Linked DNA regions of Astyanax mexicanus. The protein of the gene in region 1 binds, or shares a complex with, the protein of each later gene. Links are inferred from orthologs where the notes say so. Each region holds a gene or a part of one and is shown in the gene's direction. Other genes may lie near its edges. The genes, in order: nuclear cap-binding protein subunit 1, ncbp3, ppargc1b and srrt.

Evidence for each region.
Region 2: the proteins of nuclear cap-binding protein subunit 1 (region 1) and ncbp3 are in contact, whole or in part, in a cryo-EM structure (PDB 8BY6), measured with the Homo sapiens proteins. The link is inferred for Astyanax mexicanus from reciprocal best matches to the Homo sapiens genes NCBP1 and NCBP3. Residues at the interface, in NP_002477.1 of Homo sapiens: Lys330, Ile377, Glu378, Cys380, Lys381, Pro384, Pro388, Gln389, Ala392, His420, Asn423, Phe424, Gln425, Arg427, Trp428, Ser429, Glu431, Asp432; in NP_001107590.1 of Homo sapiens: Glu572, Asp574, Glu576, Leu577, Gln578, Ala580, Trp581, Gly582, Leu584, Ile585, Lys588, Glu589, Arg592.
Region 3: the proteins of nuclear cap-binding protein subunit 1 (region 1) and ppargc1b are in contact, whole or in part, in a crystal structure (PDB 6D0Y), measured with the Homo sapiens proteins. The link is inferred for Astyanax mexicanus from reciprocal best matches to the Homo sapiens genes NCBP1 and PPARGC1B. Residues at the interface, in NP_002477.1 of Homo sapiens: Glu26, Asp29, His30, Ser33, Leu34, Lys37, Val38, Lys41, Ser42, Ala43, Cys44, Asn49, Gly52, Leu53, Val56; in NP_573570.3 of Homo sapiens: Tyr1006, Glu1007, Ala1008, Met1009, Asp1010, Phe1011, Asp1012, Leu1014, Leu1015, Lys1016, Glu1017, Ala1018, Gln1019.
Region 4: the proteins of nuclear cap-binding protein subunit 1 (region 1) and srrt are in contact, whole or in part, in a cryo-EM structure (PDB 8PMP), measured with the Homo sapiens proteins. The link is inferred for Astyanax mexicanus from reciprocal best matches to the Homo sapiens genes NCBP1 and SRRT. Residues at the interface, in NP_002477.1 of Homo sapiens: Tyr461, Gln463, Lys511, Lys557, Ser558, Ser560, His561, Ser564, Ala567, Lys568, His570, Lys607, Ile609, Arg610, Thr611, Gln612, Met648, His651, Glu705; in NP_056992.4 of Homo sapiens: Asp857, Pro858, Arg859, Val862, Glu863, Tyr864, Arg865, Asp866, Leu867, Asp868, Ala869, Asp872, Asp874, Phe875, Phe876.

Annotation. Positions count from the first base shown.
Region 1 is NC_064409.1:65,453,163-65,460,809, reverse strand, and holds the start of nuclear cap-binding protein subunit 1, read left to right. Parts: upstream 1-4,638; 5' UTR 4,639-4,794; coding exon 4,795-4,828; intron 4,829-7,459; coding exon 7,460-7,548; intron 7,549-7,647. Other genes in the region: thiosulfate sulfurtransferase/rhodanese-like domain-containing protein 2, read right to left, coding at 37-142, 635-757, 856-964, 1,782-2,071, 3,039-3,170. UniProt on the Homo sapiens protein: Component of the cap-binding complex (CBC), which binds cotranscriptionally to the 5'-cap of pre-mRNAs and is involved in various processes such as pre-mRNA splicing, translation regulation, nonsense-mediated mRNA decay, RNA-mediated gene silencing (RNAi) by microRNAs (miRNAs) and mRNA export.
Region 2 is NC_064424.1:10,355,154-10,363,128, forward strand, and holds the start of ncbp3 (nuclear cap-binding protein subunit 3), read left to right. Parts: upstream 1-4,964; 5' UTR 4,965-5,140; coding exon 5,141-5,323; intron 5,324-7,507; coding exon 7,508-7,573; intron 7,574-7,658; coding exon 7,659-7,764; intron 7,765-7,975. Other genes in the region: rap1gap2b (rap1 GTPase-activating protein 2b), read left to right, coding at 393-401. UniProt on the Homo sapiens protein: Associates with NCBP1/CBP80 to form an alternative cap-binding complex (CBC) which plays a key role in mRNA export. NCBP3 serves as adapter protein linking the capped RNAs (m7GpppG-capped RNA) to NCBP1/CBP80.
Region 3 is NC_064417.1:38,406,802-38,414,137, forward strand, and holds the start of ppargc1b (peroxisome proliferator-activated receptor gamma coactivator 1-beta), read left to right. Parts: upstream 1-4,317; 5' UTR 4,318-4,399; coding exon 4,400-4,486; intron 4,487-7,336. UniProt on the Homo sapiens protein: Plays a role of stimulator of transcription factors and nuclear receptors activities. Activates transcriptional activity of estrogen receptor alpha, nuclear respiratory factor 1 (NRF1) and glucocorticoid receptor in the presence of glucocorticoids.
Region 4 is NC_064408.1:1,332,120-1,339,464, reverse strand, and holds the start of srrt (serrate RNA effector molecule homolog), read left to right. Parts: upstream 1-4,328; 5' UTR 4,329-4,435; intron 4,436-6,076; 5' UTR 6,077-6,108; coding exon 6,109-6,227; intron 6,228-7,191; coding exon 7,192-7,335; intron 7,336-7,345. UniProt on the Homo sapiens protein: Acts as a mediator between the cap-binding complex (CBC) and the primary microRNAs (miRNAs) processing machinery during cell proliferation.

The DNA of each region.
Region 1 (7,647 bases):
ATCACAATTTAACTGAATGAAACTGTTTCTATTTACCTGCTAACCTGTAGGAAATTGTATCTGGATCCACACCCATTGGGACAATTTCTTTGTAGACACCAACCTTAAGTTCAGAAAAGCACTCTGCACCACCTTCACTGGTCTGAGAGCAAACCCAAATACATATGTTTATTTAATATGAGATAAAATATTCCCTTATTAGTACAACAGCAGGCAAATTTTCAATATTACAGCAACACAGAGGACAGGACAAAAGTATTAGGAAATATGCATTTGTATTAATATATAAAAAATACTGGAATCTTTTTAAAAACAAAAATCTAGAGAATATAAATCTATAGACACTATATGATTGGAGGAAACATGGTTCTCCGGTATGTGTGTTGTAAGAAGTTACTAGTGATATTCCAGTTAACAGTGAATAAATTAACAGTAAATAATAGGGGATGGCATGATGGCTGCAAGTAATTAAATTTGCCTGCATTAAATTATAAGTGGTGTCTCTTTTTTTATAGAATCTTTTTTTTTGTATTGCTAGATAATTATATAAAACAAACAAAGAGTCAAACATTATTTTTAAACAGGCAAATCTGATTTGACCAGCCCTAACAGACAATCTCATTTGCAGGACTACCTTAAAATCTTCCACTTGCATTATTTTGAAAATGGGGTGTGACAGCATCGCCTTGATGTAAAGCTTTGTGGCCGTTTTGGTTCCACCAACTGTTCCATTAATGCCCTCAGTGGCCACACGCACCTGCAGGAGGAGCACAAGTTCCAGAGTAGTGTAACAGCACACTGTGACAATTCATGCACATGTGAAGATTCTCATCAGGAGGAGAGCACTGCGTTTACCTTGCCAGTGAGATGAAGTCTTGAACACAGCTCAGACTGCCAAGAACAAATCAGCTTGGGATCTCGTATTTGGCAGTAGCTGTAATACAGGAGGACTTCACCTGGACCTCTGGAAGAGGGCAACAAAACTAATATCAGCACTAGTTAAAATATGGGTTTTAAACAAGTGTCATCAGAGAGGGTGCCCTGCTTATCTAGGATTACAATGTTAACAGTAGATCCATTGAGATCTCTCAGGTACCAGTGTTTTGGATTAATTCACAGATCTTGCACGAATCCAGATCCAGACACAAATAAACAGTAATATTTTGACTAATCGATTCATATCTTTCTACTCTAATATTATTAGAATTGGCAATACTTTTGTTACATATACAGCTCTGGAAAAATTCTGCTTCTGAATCAGTTTCAATGTATAGGTATATGTTTGAGTAAAATGAACATTATTATTTAGACATCATTTCTCCCAAATTCCAAATAAAAATATTGTCATTTAGAGCATGTATTTACAGATCTCAAATAATGCAAATAAAACAAGTTCATATTCATAAAAATCAATATTTGGTGGATTAACCCTGTTTTTTAATCACAGTTTTTATGCATCTTGGCATATTCTCCTTCACCAGTTTTACACACTGCTTTTGGATAACTACAAACATTCAAGCAGTTCAGTTTGGTTTGATGGCTTGTGATCATCCATCTCCCTCTTGATTATATACCCCATACATTGCCAATGTTGGAAAAATTTGTAAGAAAAAAAACCAAAAAATTTTAATGGTCAGTAAAAAAAGAATTCTTTTCCAGTTTATTTCTGAGCATTTTTATGTGTACATTCATCATGAAATGCTAATATAAAGAATAACTCAAGAAAAACTCTTTTTTTTTGCCTAACAGTAAAATAATCATATACTAAAGGAATCTCTTACTTGCTGAGCTCCTCCTCAGAAAGATGGCTTGTGCTGGGTATCCAGGAGGCTGGATCGTCTGATTGGCTCTCATTTGGGTCTTCTTGCTTTTGAAAAGCCTCCTCGCTCTGGCTCAGCATCTGATCCAGGGCCGCAGTGGTGAGCTGCTCGATCTCTTCAGCGTGGAGGTTGGAAACATGCTTGTGGACTGAGGACGGGTCTGAAAAGGTCTCGTCACAGCACTGCCAAACCGGTGAGGTATCAGTAGGAGACGATGAGACCCTCTTAGACGCCACAAATGTTGCAAAAGTCTGAAAGTCACAGAAGACTATTGTGAGTGCAAACAACAATAAACATAGAGCAGTTTCTTAATGTAAACTTTACAAACGTAAGTTAATTCTTATTATAGTTAAACAAATATTACATTGTTCATGTATTAAGTTTGAAAATGTCAATATTTGAGATGGCAACTGAACCTCTTTACTCTCTTTGCATTTATTATGCTTCTTCCATACAAATATTAATTCTAAATAATTTCTGCATAAAAAATATGCAATGGGGGTGGGCGATATGGCCCTAAAATAATATCACAATATTTCATGGTATTTTTGTGATAACGATACCCTTGGCAATATGAAAAAACACTGAATTAAAAATATATATTTCAACATATATTTCAAACGTTTTCAACATTTATTGTACTGAAGTTTTTTTTTTTTTCAGGTCAACACTGAACCAATGCTATGTTTGTTTGTAAACAACTATATTGTAAAGAAAATTATATATACTGTGTATAATTATATAGCTTGCACCATGTTCTTGCAGTGTAAAAAATTACATAATAATAATAATAATAATAATAATAATAATAATGATTTTGTTTAAGGGGGAGGACCTTTTACTTAAAAACATTACAAACAAACTGATGCCTATGAGGCAAAACATAAGGACTAACGTTTATTTAACGTTATTTACCATCAGTGAACCAAAATATAAACAACATATGTATTAGGATATATACATTAAAAAATAATAAACTAAAAATTATTTACATCAGTTGCAGCAGAGAAGCCTTTACATGTAGACAGTGCAGATATGTTTAATAAATGTCAAATCTATGTATATGTTTTAAAATTGTGCACTGTTTTAGTGTTATGCAACCTGTGAACTGTGTAGAAAAGTGTAGACTAAATAAATATATAAAAACTATAAATTAGGAGTTTAAAAAGTGTCACATTTAGCTAACTATTACAATGTAACCTAAGCTAATAAACTTACCCTCTTCTTTATGTAGGAGTAGCACTTTCGAGTTGTTGAAATCTCGCACTTCTCATGCTTTAGAGTCCCGGCAATAAGAGTCTCCACATCCAAATGAATAAGAACAGACTCTGCCAGATCTTCACTGTCCATATTAATCTGAGTATCAGCTGATATATCTCTACACGAGGTAATACTGCAGACTACTGATCATCACACTCTAAACACACTACAGCTCCCTAAATCAACCACAGGAGCCATACAGGGGGTTATAATATAAATCCCAGGCTGTTCAGACCACAGTAAATCCTGATTAAATGATCAGAAATAAATCAGTTACTAGTTTAAGAGCTAAAACAGATAAACAAGGGTTATTATAAAACTCCTCTCTCCGCCATGCAGTTCTGCTGCTGCTGCTACTGGCGTGTCGGCAGAGCCAGAGCTGCTTTACGGAGAGACTGATCACTTCATATCACCCCCGAAATATCAGTAAACCCCTGCATGCCGCTAGAGGGAGCCAGCGAGGGAGTCCTCAATGAATAAGGGTGAATGGAGCTAAATGGCTAAAAACTCAAATTTAATTAGTAACAAACTACTCGTCTAGGATATTCCTTTATTTTAAAAGTAGAGAAAGTCTTTCACTAAAAAAATAGGAAAATATAAATAAGAAAAAATCTATCTGTATATCAGTGGATACTGTAGGCAGAACATGTTTACGAGGTCCAGACTTGAGTGCTCTGTCCAAAAAGTGACTTAAATAGAAGTTGAAGTGTTCTTTAAGCTTGTACTAAGTGGAAGTACTAAAGTTTTCAACATTTTTTGTGGAAGTACTAAAGTTTTCAACATTTTGTGTACTTAAGTGTTGCAATAATAAATAAATAAACTAAATTTTCTGTAGCTATTGCAGAAACCTGTGGAAAATTCTCAGTGTGAAAGGCAGAACAATACAGGACTCAATTTGTTCTGTGTTTCCATAAATCTCCAGTACACATGTCTGTCACACACACATCAACACAAAATCTTTATCTCAATTTTAATTGACCCTTTCATCCAGCTTCGTCTCTGTGTGTTGAGAAGTCTGACTGCCTAGTGGATGAAGCTGTTCCAGAATCTGGTTGTTGAGGCTCGGATGCTCCAGTATCTTCTGCCCCCACCTATCCCTTACAAGGATTTTCTTTTGTACATCTTTGCTTTGATGTCGTCCGGTAGAAGATACCAGAGCATCAAATGCTGTGGTTTTCCTTGGTCTGCTGGTTTGCCATCTGTTACTTAGTACACCAGTGATGACTTTCTTATACAGGAATACACCTTACAGTCAAGTTTCAATATTTTAGCTTACAAAAAATTGGGTGGGTTAAGATAAAAGGTTCTATCTTTTAAATTGTGTATCAGGTCCAAATGTAAATACCTGTTATAAAAGCTGAGATGTTGGTCTTTTGCTTCATAATCTGTTAATGTCAAACTCAAATGGTTTCAGTCTACAGCAGAAATAAAATGATTTGCCTCAGTGTTCCATTAATTTTGATGGGCACTATACGAGTAACACGTTCTTAAGTGGGTATTCTCCTCTGTGTAGACTCTCTGGTTGAGCTCCTGCCGCTCCGGAACAGTATCTAAACAGTCCCGCCCTCTTTTAGTTTTCCACGGTGGTGGCGGCTCGCTGCTGTAGCTTCTGCAAATTTTTAGCTTCGGGGCTCCAAAAAATAGGAGAATAAACCTGTAAAAATAACACAGGAGGACTTCAAACATCTGTAGACCGATAACCGAGCGCTGAAAGATGTCTAGGAGAAGGCACAGCGACGAGAACGACGGTGAGTGCGGAGTTGTGTGACGCCGTTTGCTCGGCTAGGCTGGAGTTTGTCTTATTTAGTTAGCTAACTAGCTACCTTTCAAATTTTCCGGTCCACCTTAAATAGAGCCCCAGTTGAGGTTCAGGAGTCGGGGGCTGGCTTTAGGTGTTTCGTTGCGATCGTTGCGCTGTTTAAGGTGGAATGGAGAGTTAGCTTAGCTACCTAGCTTCATGAGTTGCTGTTAGCTAGCTATTTTAGCGGTTTAGGTAGATACTCTAGCTAGGGCTAGGTTAGCTAGCTAACTAATACCCTTCTTTAAACAATGGCGCAGGGTAGTTTAACAGAGTATAGCGATTTCTGCAGGTATTATTTGGCTATTTTTTGGATATATTTTGCGTTTTCTTGGTTTAATTACTAAACTTTTAATCATTTGTACTTAAAACATGGTGTTCGAGTTGAAGCTAACGGAATAGCTAACTAGCAAGCTTAGCTAAGCTAGGTTAACGTTAGCTAGCTAATGCTAACACAGGCATGCTGTTTCACTGCCATTTCTCCTCAGGAGGCTCAGAGCTAATTTTCCAACAAAAAAGATAATTATTTAGCTGTTACCAGTATGTATACTCCACATCGTGCTCCATTTAGCTTTTTAAGTGTTTACCTAAAGCTCGTATGTCTTTGTGTAACGGTGCTATATCGTCCTCCCTCCTTTTTTTAATGAGACTAGACTCAGTGTTTATTATTCGCACAGTGAACACATTAATACATTCTATTAAACGAATGCTCGATTATTTTAAATAAAATATCTTTCGCAATAAAAACTATTTAATACTAACTTATAGCTACAGTACCAGTCAAAGGTTTATACACGCCTTCTTTTTCAGTGTTTTTCTTTATTTCTTTAACTGTTAACACCTTGACAGGCCAACATTTTTGTCATTTTGTTATTTTTGCCTGATATTACACTCCTAAATCTTAAGAATTTCTATACAAGCATTATATGAAAAGGTTTCCCGTTTGATTATTAACGTTTCTACAAATTCTAATTATACTTATAATATATATATTTTTAAATGTAAGTAAACCTGCAATTTTAACAATATAATGAATAACAATCTTGAAATTGCAACTTTCCTAAACTTCATTTTAAAACCAGTATTTCCTGAATACAGTATTTCCTGAATGTTCTCTACACCTTTCGTTTCGTTACAATTGTTTTTTTTTTTCTGTGTTCAAACCTGCAAAATTTGGATTTGATCCTGTTGCTGATCTAAAATGATTGCGTTGAGGAGAGTGTGAACAGGCAGCTTCTCCTAGTAACCTGTAGGAGTCTTCAAAGCCCTCAACGTTGTCTGAATGTGAATAATCCTATTTTACTGCAGAGAAAAGGGCTTTTGTCATCTACATTTTGTAGCCTTTATACGTTCCAAGGCCTGTAAAGGGGTTAATTAATTTTCTACAGTACATATAAATATTAAAGACATGGGAACAATTAAAGAACACATATATAGAACTCTGAATTAAACAAAACAAATAAAGTGTTTGTCCTCCACAATTCCTTAATCTAAACCCAACTAAGATGGTGATTTGGGATGAGCTGGAGTTTCCCAGTGTGAAGGAAAAGCAACAACTATTGTAAGAAACTTCCTGAGAAAATTCCAATAGTGTGCAGATCTGTTCTAAAAGCTACATAAATAAAAATATTTTATACACATGTCCCCGTATAGCTATAATGTAATATAATTAATGACTTTTTGTTAAAACACTGTTTTTATGTATGGTCTTAATACTTAAAATGTAATTTTTCTCTTGAATGATTGCACTATTGTTATCATTTTACCGGTGGCATTAGATGATCATAAAATTACAATTTTGCTACAATTTCTGAAAAGTGGTAATCATGAGAGGTCTTATTGAGCAAACTATTTGTTAAATTGAGGAAAGGGGGCCTGTTTCTAAATATTGTTATAATACTCAGTGACAGTACATTCAATTGCAGTGAGTAAGCTAAAAGGTACTTCAAAATGTGCATTGTGGTCTCTCTTCACAGTGAATGCATATGGTGGTTTTAGTGAGGATTCTGTCCTGTTCACTTCTTGCCAGCTCTCTTGGGTTCTAATTCTTTCCTTTGGTTTAATGATTAGTACATGCATTCATGAGCAGATGTAGTCTGAATTTGCAGTTATGGTGCCTCCATGTTCTCAGTAGTTCTTGTATCATCATCATTAACAAAAGTTTAACAACCACAAAAAGCTTCTGGGACCTACCAGACCACCCTGTTTTAAGAATAAATATGTGGCTTTGTAGGAATGGTATCAGAAGCACAATAATGACATTACAATATTTACAACATCACAATGTCTTCCCATTCAGGAGCACAACTACTTTCAGTTTATATCAAACAAATCTTGAGGACAGCTGCTGTTTAATATGTTAAGTTAGAGTGTATTTTGTTAGCAGATGCTCCTATCTAGGACACTGTAAAAATAGTACAAGCCAAACTACTGTAGAGTACCTGTGTGTACCTAGTGATGACCACTGACGTGGTTCTTATTTGCTACCTGTAGTATCAGTTTCTTGAATTTGTTTGATGTGGAACAAGAGTGTGTGTGAATTACCATGTTAAAATCAGTGTGTTTCTCTCTTGCAATACAGGAGGTCAGCCTCACAAAAGGAGGAGGACATCTGAGCCAATTGAAATCGAGGACCGACTAGAATCACTGATATGCAGAGTTGGAGAAAAGGTAAGACCACAGAACATTTTAATGCTCTCCTTAAAGCTGAGGATGAAATTGTCAATAAATTATAATTGTTAGCTTTTTGTCTTATCGTTACTAGAATGC
Region 2 (7,975 bases), on another chromosome or scaffold:
TCTTTTTTTCCTGAGCTGTATATCATGTCTTATTTTCTGAGTTTATTGGCTCATTACAAGTAAAAAATCCAATATTACCACACCCTATCATTTGATTACTGACATTCATGTTCTGCAGTAATCAGATTATGAAGTGCATCTAAAGGCACTCAGTGATGCATTGATTCAGTAGACTGGACTGGTATCAGGCTAATGTTAAACTCCATATTGAATATTAGTGACATTTCTTAGTCACTGATTTTATAAAATGTAATTGTAACCTGTATCTTTAGGCATTTCAGACCCTACTGGCAGCAGTAGACCCAGGTGGAGGCAAATCCATGCGAAACCAGTCAGCATGAGTTGCTTAAACATTAATAAATCATGCTGTGTGTATCTGCTGTGTTTGGCAGGGGCATTAGTGAAACAGCAGTGACGAGAGACCAGGAGCACTGTGTGAAGTCACATCAGACACTGGCTGTGGAATGACACCACATCGCACTGAGGAGGAAGGACACTGGAGATGAAATTATTTCTAAGGCTTCGTCTGCCTCTGAGGCAGCGTTTGTTGTTGGACTGCACACACTTTATAAACACTGATTACACACTCGCTTCAAATTTGGAACATTAAACCACTTCAAATCATGTTAACGTAGAACATTACGCCTACGCCTTTCTCCTACAACACAAAGGCTTCTGAGAAGTTCCTAAAAGGATGGTGTTAGAGCTTATGATAGCAATAGATATATTTTGTAGACAGTGGACAGTGACAGTCATGCAAATTAGGATAAAAGCATCATATATTTTATTCCAAAGCACAAAACATTCTCCCACATTTCCTCATTTATCTCCAGCCATTGTTCAGATTGTGCACATTTGTCACATTTTATGCTGGTGGCAGGAAAGACAGCGACAAACTGCCTCTGCTAAATCAGGGGAATGAGATGAGAAAATGACTTCGTTTTTTTCCTCACATCTATTTCTATGCTTAGTAAAGGGCATGCAAGATTCAGATTCAAAGAGATGGAATACATTGTAGTACATTACTCAGTTGAGTCTGTTTTTTCACATTAACACAGAAAGCGATAAATGGGGTCTATGAGAATGTTGTTTAATTTTAGTTTCAGTACTGTGCACACTTTTAGGCACCTGTACAAATTATTAAAAATTTAAAAGCTCCTGATCTGGGCAATAAGAGTTTATTTACCCAATAAATTAATACTAGAATTAATACAATGAACAATAATCAATACAGACACCATCCAAAAGAGAAACAACAGGTGCGCAAAATGAAGAGTCTATGGCATCAGTGCGTCTCTATGAGTGCTAAGTTAATTATTCAGCTATTATTCATAATGCAGAAACTATGTGGAGATGCACAGGTTTATATTATAGGGACTTTAAATCTGATGTTATAATAAATAATAATAATAAATAATAATAGTTATAAGAGTGAAAAACTGAAGTGTGGGCTTACAATACAGGGTCTAGTAGCATTATAAATTTTAAGGTAATGTTAAAAATTACCAGTGAAAACTCAATAGACTTAATTAATATTTTAGTACACATAGAAAATGAAAATGTCTACACCTTTTAAAATCATATTTACAAAATTCTCCCACTGTGTGCTTCAACTCTCTCCAACACTGTTACAACTAGTGAGACTGTATTAATTTCTGTTTTAATTTTAATGTTTTAATTGGCGGTAACTTTAGGAAGGGGCTTTACTCTTACAGCTTTAAATCAGGTGAGCTTGAACTGAAATCTAAAACCAAATTGATTTAAAAAATGTTATAAATGTGTTATAATGTGAAAAATTCTTATTGCTGAGATTAAAAACCTCATTTTGTGGCTAAAACGTCGAGGGAAGACATTTCTTGACCATGTTAAACCACCAAACTTTCCAATCTAAAGGTTTCCAGCCAATGTCTTTCATCCATCAACTCAAACAACTACAGTGAAATTGGGTTTAAAGCTATTAGTTATTCAGCTATTAGACATTTTCCAGCATTTGCACAAAGTGGTTCTAAAGAGATTAACTTTACTCAGTTAATACTCCACCAACTACAGACCTTCTTATACCACTCATAGTATTTATTCTAGTTTCACAAGTGCTGTATTCGATGCACAAAACAAACTTGAGCACAGTATTTGTTTATATCAAGTCAAATAAAAGCAGAAATGCCATAACTTACTTAAGATTAGCTGTTTTTGGATAGTGTCTTTTTACAGGCTGATGAATCATAAATATGTTTTACTGTTTGCCGCTTGTTTGGCCTCAAGTCGTCACTATGAATTGACCAAATCTGCTAATCATACCTGTCAAGTTTTGGACTTAAAAATAAGGGAAATTTTCCGTCACCTGCTTCGAGTCGCCCACCAACCCAACCGAGGTTCAGAATCCCTTATATTTTAAGACAGGTTTACAATAAATCTAAATAACCACCTGGGAACATTTTACAAACTACAATTAGATTATCAAAATCTGACAGGTCTATCTTTGTTGACACTGAAATGTTGTGGACATTCCTACATATGTAATTCTTATAATACTGCCTAAGTTAAACCCTTTTCTAGACATTTACATGAAATCATCAGCTTTTACAAAAATGACATGGACCAGATATATTGCATAAGTAAATATTAGTCCAAAGGGGCCTAAACAATTAATAATTTAATTAATACTTCTTTCTATTGATCAGTCCAGTCCTGTCAGTCAGTTAATTTCAGCCCTCTTCACATTTTCTCTCTCCAGATCAACCATCTCTTTTGCCCCTTCTAAATATTAAATTACACCACAATACTCTTAAACTAGCCCTGAACTAATAAAATAAATACAGTTTCGTTCATTATAGCTTACAGTAGGCCTGCAAACCTAAATTAATAAACACAGTTTGAAAATGAAATAGTTATTGGCTGATCAGGGCAGGTTGAACATCTAATTGTAAAGTTAAGCTAACTGAGTCACAAGCTGTATTTTCTTAAGCACACAGTCGGTTTGATCCGACTGTTTCAGAAACAACGTCATCATAGTTTACATGTTTAGCTCCGTTACCTCGCTGTATATCCAGATATGCTTTAACGTCAGCTGCTCCGACTAGCTCTCACAGCGAGGGGGGCGGGGCTTTCCTACATTGCGCTCCGCGAAACCAGGAACCTGATTGGCTGTTTCACCTGAAAGGCGGGACTTTCTCCTTGAACCGGCACTACCATTGGTTAAGAGACACACAGTGACCAGTGCCCTGTCGCCTCATTAGTAAAGTTTTTTTTTATATATAATACGGGAAATTTACTGGAAAATACTAATACGGGAGGACGGCGGGAAAGAGGAGTAAAATACGGTAGTTTCCCGGCCAAAACTTGACAGGTATGCTGCTAATACAACCATGTCTGATGTTTTTACCCAAGAATGCCTTGTTGCAGCTCATTAAAACACCTACCTTCATCCACAGACATGACATTCCAGAAGCTGCACAACTCTTCACATCGTCTGTAAAATCCACATGGCTGGATCTCGTCAGCCTTTCTGCAAATGCAGCGCAACAGACCAAGAGTTTCAGTACCACTTGCATTTTTATTGGCTGTACTGTGTATGTTAATTCATTATTCCATGACTGACCTTGCTGTACAAATGTAGGATGATCTCACCTGTATGTATATGTATTGTGTAAATTTGTTAATGCAGGATTAGAAAATCAGAATATGGCCAAACAGAATTTAAAATCGCACATGTTTATAAACAGCTCTAATGTGTGACACTGTTTTAGAAAGAAAATGAATGTCTGTATATTCTCTGGGAAAGATGTATAGAGAAATATTTTGGTTTCTTGTGGTCTAAATGATTCCTCAGATGTTTTAATTTATTTCACTATGATTGTTCTGCTATATGTTTAAATGTATCTTTATGACTGCTGATTTTTCCAGAATAAAAATTGTATTTTGCATATGTTTTTTCATCTTTGTTTCCCATAAAGTGTTCTTATACAGTACACTTGAATGAATGCATGTCCACAACTTATTAAAGTGTGAAAACAAGATCTTGACTTGTGGCCATAACTTAGTAAGGCGTGGGAACAAGATCTTAATGCATGGCCACAACTTAGTAAAGCATGGTAATGAGATCATATGTCATGGCCACAACTTCTTAAAGCATGAAAACAAGATCCTTTAGCATGGCCACTACTTTTTAATGCATGGTAACAAGATTCTAAATTGTGCCCACAACTTATTAAAGCGAAAAAACAAGATCCTAAATTGTGGCCACATCTTTTTAAAGTGTGGGAATAAGATCTGTATAAATGGTCATGACTTATTAAGGCGTGGAATCTAGATCCTTATGCATAGACACAACTTGTTAAAGCATGGAAACGAGATCCAGTTCATGGCCACAACTTACTGAAGCATAGAAATGAGATCCTAAATTGTGGCCAGAACTTAATAAAGCATGGGAACAAGATCCTAATATATATATATATATATATATATATATATATATATATATATATATATATATATATATATATATATATTTACATTTTGTCACTTCAGGGGCCCCATACAGTACTCATGTAAATAGGGCAGGTTATAATAACATTATATGTTAAACATAATTATTATATTATTATTATTATTATTATTATTATTATTATTATTATTATTATTATTATTATTATATTATTATTTGTATACCTTGATAGCTATTGTAGAGGCTACACTATGCTAATGACCACAGAAGATCCTAATGCATGCCCACGACTTAAAATTAAAGCGTTGGAACGACTTATATGGCCAGGACATAATTATCTCGTTCCCACACCTTAATAAGTGATTGTCACGCATTGCTATTTTTTTTAATATTATTATTATTTTCTTTTACATAATGTCAGTTTAGAGGTTCTGTACCGTACTACTGTGGAGAGGGCGGGTTATAATAATCTGCTACGTTTTCTCTCTCTTTCTCTCTGTCTAACAAGTGGTCTCTCCATCTGGCTGCTACAGTAGAGTGCTGGCGCGCTAGAAGCCTGTGGTGCCCGAGCCTGCGCTCTGTGTCCGCTATAGCAGCGTTAGTTAGCTCGCTAGCTTAGCTCGCTGGGTTTTACTCCGCTGTGTTCAATGAGACAGACGTTAGCGCGGAGCTCCCGTTGTTAGCTAGCTGGATGTCATGGCGGCTGTTCGCAGTCTGCGGGTGTCCGTGAAACCCGAAAGCGCCTCGGACCGCTCGGACTCGGATTCAGACTCCGACTCGGATCGAAATGCCAGAGAAGCGGAGCCCATGGAAGTGGAGGAAGGCGAGGTCGAGTTCGAGTCTATCCCCGTCCGCCGAAGTTTGAAGGAACTGCTACCGGTGAGTTTAGCTAGGCCTCAGTTAGACCGCGGTGTGTCCTGCTGAAGGAGGCCGATGGATGTCGCAGCTCGGCCGCTACGGGAACTGGAGGATAAGCGTTCTTAGCTAGCTAGCTAACCAACACTACACAGACACGTCTACTGTCATATAACATAGCTAACTAGCCTAGCTTAGCTTACTGGGTCTCATGCGTTACGCAGCTTGACAGTGTTAGCTACATTTCCATCCGTAAATGAGGGATTTTATTATGTTGTTTAACAAGCTTAGGCGGCGCTCTGTAGCTAACCTAGTTAGCTAACTAACACGCTATGAATTACCTAGCTATAATAACGTGTTGTAACGTTAGCTCAAGTCCCAAGTTTTGATGCTAATGCTTGTAATGCTATGTAGCCCTGCTAGCTAGTAGAGGTGGGTAACCCAGGTCGGGAAAGTAAAAATCCAGCCCAGTGTTTTGAACCAACCGCCTCGTCTGCTCTGCGGTTGGTTCAGGCAGTTTGATACAAAATCCTGGGGTGGAATTTTACTTTCTAGACCTAGGTTACTCACCTATGCTAACTAGCTATCGTTAGTCATGTTCAGTTGTTGATTATGAAAGATGCTTAACAGAAAACTAGGAATTAAATAATCTATATTTTAAAGCCTTCGTTTGCCGTTTTCGTTATTAAGCAGTTTTATTTCATAATGTTCTAGTGAGTTATTATATTGTGTGTTGTCAGTTTTACATAGTTAGCTTGGTCTAAGCTAGTTACCTGGCTACTAGCTCGCCAGATGGCTAACTTCTCTTTCTTGTGTTTCTGAGGGTTTGGGTTCTTTTATAATATTATAGTATTTAACTTATTCTTTTTCCTTTCTTGCCTTATAATAAACATTTATTTCACTCATTGAAGTATTAAAGTATTAAGGATTTTATATTAAAAGTTTTAGATCAGTTAAGTTAGTGCTGTAGCATCATATGGCAAGCTGTTTTAGTCAATAAATACACCAGTGATATCCAGGGTAAAAGTAAATGAATGGTAACGTTACTGGACAGATGTAATCTGTCTCTAGTAGATTATGGAAAATGAGAAGAGTGAGAAATTTTCCTTTGCTAAAAACAGCAAAAAAGTAGTACCCTCATGTAATAATTAGGGTGGGTAATATGGCACGATATTTCAGGGTATAATATCGTTCACAATATAAAAAAATGTTGACGATATTATTGCGTACGATATGATATGGCACAACCCTAATGCTAAGTCATAATGTGAAATACTACCCCAGACTTAGTACCTCAAAATAATGACTTGGCATTTCATAAAATAATGACTTAACATCTAATAATTATTAGTTAGTGGAGGCCCTTACTTTTTCCAAGAGGCAGAAATAGGCTTGCAAAGATATCGGCTATGAAATGTTGTAATGATGTCAGATCTAAAGATTAATAAAAAAGGACTGGACGATATTACCAAAATTTATATCATATTTTTAGTTTCGGTCGATGCAATATAATTCCTATACAGTTACAATAAAAGCCTCTTGACTTGCCTTCGGTATCAATATGAACAGCATAAAACCCACCACCTGTGATGTATGTGATCATGCACTGACAGAGTTGGGAGAAATAGTAAAATATTATATCACTTCATCAAAAATGGTGCATCACTCCATCTGTAGCAAAACAAGCATGACATTTTTATTCAGTTTTTTTCTGCACATCACAAAATGAAACATTTAAACTTTGCAATAAAAAGTGCAGCTTGGTCAGTGCTTTTATGCATTAGTTTTTGTATATGCATATTAAAGCATGTTGTCTATGATAAGAAAGTGTATCATTGTACAATCAAATATCAATATATTGCCCAGCTCATAATAAAGAGATTTTAGCCAGCTATATTTATACAGTGACACATTCTTAATGTACTTTTACCCAATCATATGTTACCTTAGATTTACATGGAATCTCTCATACTTCCTTCTGTAATTACATTCATACTAGTAAAGTGCAATTAGAGGTATTAGTAATTACGTTTTGTAATAGTAGTTGTGATTGCAGATGTCTCCACTGTGATTCTGCTATAGTTTTAAATATCAGTAATCTTATTATTAGTAAAAATCATTTGATAGTGACTGTTATACAGATAGGAAACATTACCTGTATAGTTCAAAAATCTGGCTATGTTGTTTACTATTTTGTGCTTTCCTCAGGACACAAGCAGACGATATGAAAACAAGGCTGGCACATTTATCACTGGGATTGATGTAACGTCCAAGGTAAGGGTCTTCTGTTTCCATTGTGACATTAAAAAGCTCTCTTAATATTGCTTGTCATTTATTTTCTTGAACTTTATTTGTTTAGGAGGCAATTGAGAAGAAGGAAAAAAGAGCAAGGAGATTCCACTTTCGTGCAGAGGACAATCTTGCTCAGAGAAATGTTGTTCTGGACAGAGATCTGATGAAAAAAGGTAAGTACTCCACTTGAGCTAAGCTGAAATTGAATGGCATTAGTGTTTGTGTAGGCGTAATGATGAAAGACCATTTGTCCTATGTGATGTGAAAATTCAGTGACCTGTTCTTCAATAGAAAAGCATTTTTAAATGGCACGGCTATTTATGAGCCTTGGTTCAACATTCCTGATGCCAAGTATTGGCTAGATGGATTTTAAACCCCCAGCTT
Region 3 (7,336 bases), on another chromosome or scaffold:
CAAGAATGTGCCAGAGCAGACACTGGAACTAGCCTGGATCTCTGCAGTCTTGAACAAAGGGAGTGCAACTGAATCATGAAGCAAAACAATCTTTGTTAAAATGAAGACTTTCATTGTTGCTGTGGTCTCCACTGTACACTGTGTGGGCTAGTTGAGTCAGTCATTGTTCAGTAGGTGGTCATTTAATATGGGCGATTTTGCCCTGTGAATAATCACGTCTCTCGCTCACGTGGAAGATGTCGGCCCCAGTTTTCTGTTCTGTAGACTTGTTTTGCTCTTGCTAAGGCCTGAGCTGGTAAGTCTTTGAGTGCTCTTTGTAGGTTTAGCCCCTGGGCGGGAGGTGGACAACACTGGCGGGAAATGAAGTCCACTAAATGAGGACACAAAAGCAGGAATGCCACACATGCAGCAATGTACACAGGCGCTATAGCCACTACCAAGCGGTCACTCCACAGCTTTGTACACGGCCCCACAGGTCACTCACCCAAGGCCGGCTCCAACAGAGAGGCCTCCGGCCATTGTCCAAAGCAGGGGCTTGTTTTTGATGTGAGCTGGAGTAACACTGAATTCCAGGTCAGGTCAAACATGAAAGTGAAATTTTGGATGAAGGGGGAAAAGTTCATAGTTCTGGGAAGGTGGTGGATAGGGGTGGAGGAGTGGAGTGGAGGGGGTTATAAACATTAGATAGAGACTATGTTTAAAAGTTTAATCAGTTGGACTTACCTTTTCCTAGAAAGGGGGGAGTTTAACCGGTTCATGAAAACCTTCCCCAATTCACTGTGTACTGTACACTGCTAACTTCAATGTGGTTTGACCTTTGCTTTCTAAGGAAGAGAACTCAGTGTGCGTTCAGCAACAACACTGGGTGTTTTGAACTAGGACAGAACCAGACAAAGCAAATCAGCTTCAAGCGCAGGTTTGTTTCACACGGATGAATTTGCTGTGTGTGCAACTTATAAGGGAATGTTTGTCCTTAGAAATCACATACAAACATTGTACAACTGAGGACTTTTTTTTACACCTAGCATTAACATGTTTTTAGTGACTGAATCACGTGTGGATTTGGTTTTGGTTTAGCTTTTATTTTGCATTAAAAAGCCTATAAAAACACCACAGATAGATGCCTTTAAGATTGCTCAAATCACATTCAGCTGTTGTCAGAAAAAAAAAAAACATTTGCATTTAATACAAAAGTGTAAACTGAATGAGTTTTGGTGATTCCCTTAGGCAAAGGCAAATACTATAAAACAAAAATATTAGAATTTATTGAAATGATTATTACTGTGGATCTTCTCTTTTCTGCTCTCTGGCTCTACTGGTAGATGAGAGAGCTAGATATTGTTCCCTTGCAATATACAGTAAATAGCCAGGTGCCTTTTTTGAAACAGCCATATTAAGGATGAAAGAACCGTCTAGGTCTATTGTTCAACCTTGCTATAAAACCCTCACCATTACCATAAAGTCTTAACAGTCTTAACAGTCTCCTGGAACAGAATGATGAAAAACGGTAACGGAAATAATGTACGTGCTGGTGTACTTTTTACATCTGGTCACTCTGGGGATGCATTTTAATGACAAGAAAATCTGGTCTATGCCCAGATAATATGACCATGTGGGGCCTGTAGGGGTTGCCCAACTGAGAACCAGATCATTTTGTTCATGGGTTCCATGTTGGCCTCACTTATGAATGATACTGATGGGCCCCATCTGGATCATACACTACACATGGGGTTAAGTTGGGCAGTAATGGTGGGGTCCATTAAACTGGGTTCCAGTAAAAAAAAACACAAAGCCAACCTACTCACAGCATATGCCCACCTGAAACCCACCTAGTCCGCGTTAAAATAGTCTGTCTGAAAACGACCTGATGCCCTACCCAATCTCTGGCTCAAAAAAATGGTCTGTGACGTAGGCATGGGTTTTTAATGCTATTAAAAACAGAGGTGTGGACGTGGCTGCTAAAAAGGGGCAAATATTAGAAATTACAGGCACCTACAACTCAAATCAAAGAGTTTTAAAGAGGTTTAAATCGGGCTCAAGATCATAATGATAATTTATGGGTCAGGCTGGGTTGGGATCAGACAAAACATGCACTCGCTTGGATAGAGATCGAATCTCTATTAGGCAGCCCAACTGAGAACCAGAAAGTTTTGTCCACGAATCCCACACTTGCCCCATGTATTAATAAGAGAAATGAGCCCCATTATGGTCAGTGATGGTCCCCATCTGGGTCCTACACATGGGATCTATGTGACATTAAAGTTGGCAGTAATGATGGGGCCATTTTTGTGGCACCCAGTAAAAAAAAGCACATGTACAAACCCAATACACTCACAGAATATGCCAACCTGAAACCTACCTAGTCCATGTTTAACCTATGTGAGGCCCACATGAATAAGAATGTTGGCTGGAAGAACAGATATTATAACAGACTGACTCTCAAAAGCCAAAGGAATACACAATACGTATGGTCTCTGATGCTGAGCTCGTTTTGAGCTAGATTCTGACTGTGTGGAATTTTTCTTGTTTGCTGCTGTGCCCACCTACTATCCCAAATCCGCCTTCAGTAATCCAGCTGGGGGGTTTTGTTTAATTTGGGGGGGGGGAAATAAACACATCAAGCAGCAGAGGTGGAAGCAGATGGGACTGTGGTGAAATGCTCTCTCTCTATTTATCTCTCTCTCTTTTCTCACACACAGTGTGGCAGCATCTTCTGCCTGGTTCAGTGTCTTCCTCCTCCCTCCCTCTGCCCTTCACTCTATCTTAAGCGAGGAAGGATGGTGGTGGGATTGGTGGAGAAGGATGGGGGGGGGGGGGGGGGGTGTTGTGCCAAACGTGGGCACGGCGCAGAGACGTTCAGTGCCAGATCCTGCTCCCTGTCTGAGGCAAGTTTGTGTAAGATCAAATGACTTTGAAAAACTCCTGTGACCTGCCTGACCGTCCATTTATTTAACCAGCGTGACAGGCGCGCGCGAGCGAGCGCGCAGGCGAGCGAGAGTGCGCGCGGATCCTGCCCAGTGCTCGGCCAGCAGCAGCAGCAGCAGCTCCGTGAGCGCGAGTCATGTGACGGACGCGCACGTGTTGGCTCGAGGAAGCCGCTTTTCAGCACAACACGCTGCTGCCCTACTCTACTCACACACACCCCGCCCTCCAGAATACACTGTTTCCAGCCGCTCAGATAGCAGCAGCGCCGGCCAATCACAGCCCGGCTCGCCTCGCGTGCTTTGCATATCTGTAGTACGCCTGGCTTCTCGTCCAATCAGAGCCCGGCTCGGTGCTCCCGCCTCGCTTCCCTGTTCGGAGCGTGTTGTGGAGGAGCTGGATGTTTCTGACACACTGGAATTAACTTGTCCTTTTCAGCTGAACTTCACCCCCCGGACGCAACGTAACGACGGCACGTATTTTTGTGGTTAAACGGTCCATTTCTTCCCAAACTTGCTCAGCTTGTCCTTCAGGGAGGCTGATACTGTAATTCTGACAATGACCAAGGTTAGGGTAAACAAACCGTGCCGCTACACTGAGGTCACACAATGCGAAAAATTCACTTATGCTCACTAATATGGTTAACTCCCGGTCAGACTTATTAAATGACCTGTATTTTGGAGGGAAAACAGCCTTATTTCACCTTGCTTACTTTCAGGAGTTTGTTTAGATATCATTTGCAATCAATTCATACAAAATGTCTTATAGTCTCAGTAACAGACAAACGTTTGGACACACCTTCAATTCAGTGTTTTTTTGTATTATTTTATCATTTTATGCATTGTAGATTAATACTAAAGTCATCCAAATTTAGAAGAATTTATAAGTATTCAGTAAACAATTTTTTTTTTAACAAACCAGAATCCAATGATGGTCTTATTGGTCTGGACTGCAGTTGAGGATACTTTCAAAGTTCTTGACAGTTTTCGGATTGACTGACCTAAATTTTTTTAAAGTATTTTTTTTATTTAGTTGAGTTTTACTTGCTAGGATGGCAACTTTGCAGGATTTTCTCAGTTAGCTTTATAAGGTAGAGTCACCTGGAATAGCATTCAGTTAACAGCTGTGCTGAACTTGTCAAGAGTTATGACTTGAATTTCTTGCCCTCTAAATGTGTTTGAGAGCATCATTTGTGATGTGAAAAGGAGAGAGAGTTGGTTTACAATGAATAGCCCTATCTGAGTAATGTTCTAATTCATATTATGCAAGAACTACTCATCATATTAAAGAAAAAATACTTTAAGAAATGAAGGTCAATCAATCTGAAAACTGTCAAGAACTGGACGACTTAGTATTTATTTACAATGTAGGAACACAAATAAAAACATTGAATGGGTGTGTTCAAACTTTTGACTGGTACTGTATATCATCACTGTCCAATACAAAGCATGTATCTCCAAAACAACTTTAAGAGATAATGGAAAGGTGGGACAATCCAAGTCAAGTGAAGAGGCTTTCAAGTCACATCAGCAGATCAATGCAGAAGGAACCACACATCCTGCAGGTTAGTACAGTTTTAACCTTTAGTGAGACATGACATGGCAAAAGTCACAGAATACTTGTTCCTGTCCCATGATGTTCAGCATGTGAGTGTTTCATTAAATACAGTACATTTCAAAACATACCACTGGTTCTAAAGTCCATAGTCCATATAATTGCAAACTAAACTGCAAAAACAGCCAATTTTAATGTTTTTGTATGTAGCCTAGTCCGCCCAACAACACTTCAGTAACAGTAACACTTAAGATCTATTATAATAGATATAATTAAAAGTGGCACAACACACAGCAGCTATTCAAGCAGATAACATTTGCATATTTTAGTTGTTAAGGCACAATAAAGATAAATATAGATAAACAGCAAGAGTAGAACAATCCTATAACATTAATTAAAATAGTTAAAGATAAATGAAATTAAAAATGTTATAATGTAACTAGACATCAGCTCTTTAAATGTAAAATGAATAAACAGGATAAATGTAGAGTATAGACTCTTTGATCCAGAAACTCAGAACATTTATTCTCAACTTGGAAATTAGAGCAGCAAACAGCCTGTCAGCAGCCTTTACACCAGCCCTAAATCAGGAAATCAGCAATTACACTCTCTAAAAGAACCTGTTAATTTTCCACCTGTCCGTGATTCTAACTCGCAGACACAACGGTTGATGGGGTTTCTTTATAATGGACTATTTGGATGGGTCACTGGGGGAAACTGCAGGGCAATTTACTTTATTGACATTCTGTTTTCTTGCTCATGCCTCTGCATGAGGATACTCTGTCTACTATAACACACAGTGCAGCTAATAGGTCACAGGTTTTATTTTTGATCTGCAGACCAGCAGCTTAGACTGGCTTTGAGGTCAGAGTGCAGAATGTCCACTTTAATAGGTGGACATTTACGCTTTTGTTGAGTAAACCATGGAGAAGATAGTCCCTTAATTTCAGAAAATCATAAGTAACTGGACAAATGACTGTATCTTAAATAAAACTGTAATTTTTATTATGCTCTCAAAAATAAAGGTGCTACATAGTATCACATAATAATGAATATTGTTTATTGAAATAATTTCTGGAACAATACACCACCCAAACCAAAATAGTTATCATGGCTGCCATTGTGCTACACAATGTTCTCTAAACAATGCCATACTGCCAAGAATTACTTTTGACTCCTTAAAAACATGTTTGTAAAAACATTTTTTGTAAAAACGACTGAAGTCTGTGACTCAAAGTGATACTGTATTCTTGCATTGTCCTGAAGTACAGTATATCCCTCCACTGACTGAAACAGAAAGAACCAATCAGCTTACTTGCTGTGCCAAGAGCAGCAGAGGGTTAATGCACCATGATGTAGAAATCTGTCAAAGCATGTTTTTTGTCCATTAATGAGCTCAACACTAGAAACAATTCATGAGTGTTTTTTTTTGTCAGTTTTGATCATTTATTTAAAGTATTTTGTTAAAATGGTGATTTAACTTTCAGTTTTGAGAAGAAACAGAACACAGTTTTTTGAGTAATGCCTAATAAACCAGGGTTACTGCTGGGCCCTAAAAAGTCTTAAATTAAAATCTGGGTAATTAACATCTTAAAAGGTCAGCGGAGAGCTAGCTAACATTAGCAGCAAGCTAGCTAATATTAGCGCAAGCTAGCTAACATTAGCAGCTAGCTAACTAACATTATCAGCGAATTATTTTCTACCGAAGAAATTATGATTAAATTATATTTATGGAGGTCTTAAAAGATCTTAAAAAGCATTGGTGCAAGAACACCTGTAAACACTGTTGGTTTCCTATATAACCATTTTTAAAAAAGGTTTGTAAATGTGAACAAGGTTCTAGTTTTAGGGCTAAGAGTTATTTACAGAGCAGTGTTTCTCAGTCCTGTTCCTTGCAGGCACCCTGCCCTGAATATTCTTGGGAATTCCCTGTTTTTATACACCCTATAACTCTGAAAGGGGTTGTTAGTTAACTGATTATTTAAATCAGGTGTGGGGGGAGAAGGAAAAGCAATAAATGTGCAGCGCAGGGTACCTCTAGAACCAGAGTTGCGAAACACTCTCTTAAAGTAATGAGGGAATATGCTAAATGAAAACACTGCTATGCAAATTAATAAACTGATAAGGGTGATGTGTTTATATATGCTGGGTGGCTACAAGGCAGTAGTAAAATAATGTGGTTGTGGTGATATTCAGAATTGAGCATTTATGCATATGAGACATGATCTGCCCATATTGTCTTATTTTAAAAGATCTTGTAATCAGTTCAACTAAAAATGATAAAAAATTACATTGAGCAATTAATTTATGGCCAAATACGGCCCAGATAAGGCAAGAAATACGGCTCTGAGTTACAGCACTGACAAATGTACTGTGGGCCAAAACTGGCCTAGCCATATCAGCTACCTTTAAATGGCATGGCATTTGAACTCTGGGCCACATGTGGCCCTCCAGCAGCGTACCATGTGAAATGCTTGAATAGCATTGCTATTTCGTTTCAAAACTGACCCAACTGCTGCCAGCTGTGGCTGTGATCTGGCACCTAGTTTCTAACGGAGTCATCTCAGTCATTCCATGGTAGTATGTGGGACAGATAAAAGTGTGGACCAGAACTGGGGTGTGACTCGTTTGCTATTTGGGTAGTAATAGAATAAAAAATGACATTTAAATGTATGAAACCAGACCTGCTACTGTATTTATTCTACTGTAGTTGACTTTCTTATGAAAGAGATGAGATTTGGAGTGGCTGAATAAGATTTTCTGGAGTACAATCAGATATGCCAGTGTTCTTCAATCCTGGTCCTGGTGCCCAGCACATTTTAGAGGATTGCCTGCTTTAACACACCTACTGCTACTCAAA
Region 4 (7,345 bases), on another chromosome or scaffold:
CCGCCATGCTGGAGGCCGTCACCACTGCGGCGTAAACACGTATCAGAACATATTCTTACCCAACACAGTGACTAGTGCTGGGAGGTATGATCAAAAAATTATATCACAGTAAAACACTCAATGTTTATGCATTTAAAAAAAGAGACATTTATCAAAAGCTCTACTGCACTCCAGCGGTCTAAAGCGCTGCCACTATGAGCGGGAGGTCGCAGGTTCGAACCCCCACTCATGCAGCTTTACCATCAAGCTGCCGGCGCTCAGAGGGAGCACAATTGGCCCAGTTTCTCTCTGGGTGGGTACAGTACAGTAGATGGCGCTCTCTCTTTCCCCTCATCACTCCTAGGGTGATGTGGATCAGCACAAGGCTGCGTCTGTGAGCTGATGTATCAGAACCGAGTCACTGCACCGCTTTCCTCCGAGCGTTAGCGCTGTGATGCTACTTGGAAATGCTACAGCATCAGCAGCAGCTCAAAAAGAGGCGGAGTCTGACTTCACATGTATCGGAGGAGGTGTGTGCTAGTCTTCTTAACCCTCCTGGTGTGTTGGAGCATCACTAGTGATAGGGGGAGGAGTCCTAATGAGTGGGTTGGGTAATTGGCCGTGTAAATGGGAAAAATGGGAAAAATTAGAAATAAATTTATACTGCACACAATTAATTAATACATTCAGTTCAATGTGCATTAAAATGATCCTTCCATCTACATTATTAATATTTAAACAGGCCTGTAGTTACTGCTCTTGAAGTTTATTTTCATCTCTTATCCAGAGTTTTAGGGAGTTTTATCTCTTGTACTAAATAAATGATTCTGTACCCAGATCCGATTCTGGGCTCATCTGGGGGACAAGAGGAAATTTCTCAGAGCTGTGGACTGATTGCGCAATTCTATTCCTCCTTTTTCTGAGTGAATAATTGCTGTTTGCTGTTGTTTTTCTATTTTTCTCAGATAAAAACACTCATGCAGTGAGGAACAGCAGCAGGAGCTCTTCAGATAAAGTGCTGTTCTCATTTCTCTCCAGGCTAGACAGAGCGAGACGAGTGTTTGACTCCACAGGGATGAGCTACCATCACTCCAGTGCGTTAGCTTGTTATGCTAACTGGCTAGCGTTAGCTAGTGAGCCGTGTCAGTGTGCTTCTTTGGTGGTTCTATTCTGCACAGCACTCTGCAGCACCTCTAGTGGTATGGCAGTATGTGAAAAAGCATACCGGTTTTAATTTCCCCTCCAGTATATCAAATAAAACGATATACCGCCCAGCACTAATTGTGACCACAATAGAACAGAACAGAGACTCACCGGGTCCGGAGACGCCGTGAACAAAGCCGAACTGTCCCTCCCGATCTTCATCCCGAATTTTGGGAAGCTTGGAGAAATCCATCCTGAGTGAGAGTGTGTCTGAGTGACGAAAAAAGAGAGAATATAGTTATAAAATAAATAAAATGTGCTTTAAATACCGTATTTTATCCAAGCAAAGTTCGTTTTTCCCGTCTAGCAGCTCCTGAGTGGCGTAACTGTCTAAGCGCAGACTCTGTTGTGTGCTGTGTTTCTTCCCAAACTGCAGCTCAACACGCTTGGAGGAGAACACTACACAACTGCTAACCCTGATACCTCAGCTAGCTTAGCAGACGACGATCATAGCATCACATGATTGGAGGGGTGAACAAATAATTTAAAGATAAAATTCATTAAAATAAATAAATAAATAAATAACGTATATTTGCTTGTATTTTATTATTAGAATAGTATATAGTAACATATCTACTTATAACACTGCTTTGTGATTATGTTTATTTTACACAAAAATACTAAATAAATAGCATTTTATACTACACTGCTGTATAAAATTATACAACGACGTATCTATTGTAAATTGATCTATACATCAGTACATATTATTTAGTAAATAGTAATTTTTTTAAATTCATTTTTCTATTTAGATTCTTATTATACTAGTTGATTATTATTCATTTGTCCTTTTTAGCATTTTTCTTTATTTTAAATTTGATAAATTCTTAACTTTTTATGTGTTATTTTTTATGGTTATTATTATTATTATTATTATTATTATTATTATTATTATTATTATTATTTTATTTTATTTATTGTTATATATGTCTTGAATTTGTTATAAACTGTAAATGCTAGGCTGCACTGTAAATAAGGGTCACCCTCAATGTTCTCCTGAGTTTAAATAAAGGTTGGTTTCTATAATTGAATTCAGCACAGTCTCTCTAAATACCTCACTTGGGCGTTAACTCTAATTATAGACTCTACTTATAGACTACTGTAACACACATAATATATCTTAAATTAATTGTAATATTCTTTTTTTATATTCTAATACTTTTCTGTAATCTATTAATTTTCTGTTTCTTTTAATATTCTATTAGAAATAATTTTAATGGTGCAGCAGCTTTTAGTGTATTTTTAGTTTATTTAGTATATTTATGTCCACTTAATTTACATAGTGTATTTCTGTATATTAAGAAAGAAATACATATATTTAAAATATAGAGATAGCTATTTTAATGTATATTGATTATAATTAGTTAAAGTATAAGTAGTACTTTTTTTTGCATTAGTAGCAGTATTTATAGCATTTTTTTAGCAATGTATACTAAGTGTATTTCTATATATTTAATATATTGCTGTATATTGAATGCATGTGTCTTTGTGGCTATGTGTTAGTAATATATATGTAGGTTTGTACATATTAGTTTATTGTTGTATTTTAAGCAGCAGTGTGTGTGTTTTAATGGATTTAGTACATTTAGAGCGGTATATTGTGTATATTTTGTATATTTCTGTGTATTTAAGATTTATTTTTAACATTTCTAATAAATGCACAGATGCATGACATCCTTAATTAAATGATACATGAACTATAAAGTAAAATAAAAGCCTAAAATCGAATTAAATCCTAAATTAAGCTGAAATAAGCTTGTTTTTCGAATTAGCCGTTCCACCTTAAATGTTGCTGCAGTTGCATTCTGGCGCCTCGGGCGCCAGAATGCAACTGCAGCAACATTTAAGGTGGAACGGCTAATTCGAAAAACAAGCGAGTAAATTAGAGCAGTTAAAAGCTAAAATCAATTAAAAACGAGCTTAAAACGAGAAATATCAACTAAAAAACACAATTACATGAATAAATCGATATAAAACAGTAAAATAAGGCTGAAATCGAGCTTGTCTTACCGTTTTACTATGAGAACAGAGCAGAAGCAGAGCTGAACAGTCACGACACTGATCAGCTGACTGGACCTGGATTAACCCCTTTAAACCCCTTTAACCCTTTACTGACCACATCCCTCCTATATATTACATTTATTATTACATATAACACACAAATCAGAGCATATTTATACAGATTCTCACTTATATTCTTATTAAATTAAGGGAATATTTATGATATATTTCCTTAAATTTTCTTACAGTGTAATTAATAGGCAGAATTGTTTTATTTGTATATTTATTTACAAGATATATGCTCATTATAAAACTTATATCAATCAGTATTACTATATGTTTTATTACTATGAATCTTACTATGCTTTCGTTCGAAAAATATTTAATTTTTGCAAAGGTCTTTTTTTTTAAATGTATTTATTTATTTAGCTATTGTTTTAATTATTTATTTACTTATTGATTTATTTATTTGTCTAGTCATTTCTTTATTAATGTATTATTTTTCTATCATCTACTCATTTCTATTTTTATTAATTTATTGATTTATTTATTTATTTGTCTATTCATTTCGTTCTTTCTTTCTTTCTTTATTTGTCTATTTCTTTCTTTTTCTTCTTTCAATTCATTTCTACCTTTATTTGTTTATTGATTTATGTATTTGCCTATTCATTTATTTCAATTTCTTTATTTTTCTACCTTCTATCCCTTTCTATCTTTTTTTTTACTTATTGATTTATTTTTTTATGTATTTATTTAATTGTCTATTTATAAGCAATGCATTAATTATCTGCGTTTGGATCTTTTATTTATTTTAGGCCAGTTTTTGGCTAAAAATATTGTTTTACTTAAGATACAGCTTTTACTTTTAATATGTGAAAGAGTGCATAATTTATACACTTTATTTATATTCAGCCTTTGGGATAAATATTTTATTTAGTTATTTACATGTTTTGGTTTTAGACATAAAAATCCTTTTTGTGCATCCCTATTATGAACGTACTTACCTATTTTGTAGATTGATTGATTGATTGATTGATTGATTATATATTACCTAAATTAAACTAAATTTACCATAATTTACTTTATAAGTATATACAGACTTTGATTCTGAAGTGTTGTGTTTGGGCTGCGCTTTGCTCTTCTGGCCGGAGGGGGCGCTGCTGCGTGATATCAGTGCAACATCCGGGAGCCTGCTTCGTCCGTTCTGCAGCGAGACCGCGGCGGGTGGCGGGATTTTACCGAGTAGTTACCGGTACCGCGGCTTTTCTTGCCTTTGTCTCTGTTTATTTACTGTTTTTATACCTTTTACACCCATATTCTAGTTTGTGTAAGGTTCTGTATGTGGAAAGCAGCGTAATAGAAACGTATTTTGGGCTAATCTGTTCCTTTACTTTTGTTCTGTAGTCTCGAGAGTGAAGCTAGCGAGCTAGCCAGCCTATAGCTGGGCCGTGCTCCAATAAGCGCACTCGCGCCCTTAACTGTACACTTATTTATTTATCTGTTTAGTGGGTGTTTGGGAGTAGTTTAGTCTGATTTAAAGTGTTTTGATTCTTTACTGACAGATTCATTGTTTAGTGTGTTTATGGAGAAAGCTTAAGTTTACTCCTATGGGAGAGAAAACACACTTAGGTAGGGTGCCTGAGTAGGGTGCGTAGTTAAGCGTACTTGTTTTTTGAGATATCTAGCTACATATTTAAGGAACAGTTACGTATGTAGCTCATTTGTCAGTAAAATTAGTTAAATAAGTGATATATTTAATAAATGGTACGTTCATATCTGTGTAATATCTCAAACAAACGTTCAAATATAGGTAAGCATGTTAGCTAGTCTACTGCTCGTATTGGAACACAGACAGGCTTGTATAATAAGCTAAGCTAACGTTACTTGCTCTAGCTAGGCTAGCTAGCTAAGATAACCATAGAGTGTATGTCGTTTTATCTGAATATTTGAGTTAAATACTTTTTTTGAAGCCTAAATTGCTTTAATATATAAAATTATTCTACACGTTTGGAGCAGAACTAGCGTTAGCTAGGTTAGCTTGCTAACTGGTAAGTTAGCTATGCTAGCTAGCAGTGCTAATCGCTTCAGATATCCTTTATTAAATCTTGTTTATTGTGTTAAGTTTTTATATACAGCTATTTAAACATGTAAATTGTACCATAGTGCACAATTGTGAAGTTTATCACCTTTAAAACAGGCTCATTGAATTTTCCTTTCCACCTTAAATCTGCAACAGTTTCATACTGCAACCAATGCCCCCGTTACAGTGCAAACAATGGGGAAATTTAAGGTGGAACGGAAAACTTTCTTATTTAGTGCCAAGGTGTGAAAACACAGCTTTTACAATATGTACCAATGGAGGGTTTAGCTTTAATATTGCAATATTTTGTTTCACGTTGTGCTGTGTGAATTGGAGTTATTTTTGTTTTCCTTTAAATATTAAATTGTTCTTCTAAACCTTTGGACCAGAGGTATTGTAGTTTACTGTCTAGCCAGTTCGCAATGCTATTTTCACTTACTTAAATGTTATATAGTTATTTAACTTAGTAAATTGTGCTATAGTTTGCCAATGTTAAGTTTATTACTGAATGTTCTGTTCCACCTTAAATTATGCTGTTGCGTGCACTGTAAACGTGACATTGGTTGCAGTACAGTGTAACTGTAGTAGATTTAAGGTGGAACAGTCAATTAAAAAAATACTTATTCAATGCTCAGTCTTGATAAATGTTTGTGTGTGTATATGCGTAATGTATGGGGTTTAGTCACATTATTAAAAGTGGATTTTTTTTTTCCAGCTTATAATACTAGACCCCCTTGAGGATCACTTTTAGAGATCTGTATTCCACATTCTGTATTGAAGTTGATGTTATTTCTTGTATATTTTCTTTATTAGTGAGATCTGAGACTGGTTGGTGATTGGGCGTGATGGCAGACAGTGATGATGAGTACGATCGCCGCCGCAGGGATAAATTCCGCAGGGAAAGGAGCGATTATGACCGTTCCAGAGAGAGGGAGGACCGGCGGAGAGACGACTGGAGTGACCGGTGAGCAGCTGGGAATTTAATATAACTTAGTACAAGAACTTAATAACCGTTTATAACAGGGGTTCCCCAACCCGAGTTCTTGTGTTTCTCACGTTTTAGTGTGTTCCTAACACATTACTGTTACTTGGAAACCTTCAAAGTATAAACATTCATGGTTTTAACACATTGGTGCTAAAAAGGAAAAAACTCTGGTCTCATATTTCACTGATAATTAGGGCTGTGTATTGGCAACAACCTGGTGATATGAGATTTTAGTTTTTCGCTTGTTTTAGGAAAACTGTCTAAAGCCCTGTCTGGACGGAATTAGTTTCTCAGGGGGACACCTGTGAAAAATATTTCACTGTTCTACTCAGTGATAAAACTCCTGCATCCGGACTGCAATTGTAAAAACAGGATGACCAGGGGGTTTTTAGGCTTTTTTCTCAGTCACATGACCTCACGTTCAGTAGCTCCTCCATTTCCACACACTGTTGTTTTTAATGTGGATCTCCTTGGAAACGCACGTCCAAAGTGTAATTACGGTGCGCAGCAGTGGACAAATATCTATTTTATTAAAGGTGAGACGAAACGAAGATGTGCGTCCAGAGGGGACTAAAATTACTGGAGGAGCACGAAAAAGAGTTCAGAGGACGTCTGTGAAAAACACGAACATGATCGTTCTGGACGGAAATAAAATTACCGAGGATAAAAAAAAAAACATAAAAGAGAAAATTACCCAGAACCTCCTGAGAAAATAATCCAGTCCAAATAGGCCTATAGTACAAAAAAACAAACCACGTTGATTTAATCTAAGAGAAAAAGTTTACTTTGAAAAGAATCAGAGCAGTGGTTTTTCAGTTAGCCTTTATGACATGTCCTGTAACATTCAGCACCATTTTAACAGAAAATAAGTTACGTATATCACGTATATTAAAAAGTGCTTGCAGGATTATTTATGTGTGTTTTGTGTGTTTGTGGTTTGCAGGCGCCCGTCGGCGAGAGAGTGGGACCGGGGCCGAGAGAGACGTAGCCGGGGGGAGTACCGGGATTACGAGAGGGGCAGGAGGGAGAGATTCTCCCCACCCAGACACGACATGAGCCCCCAGCAGAAACGCATGAGGAGAGACTGGTACACATTA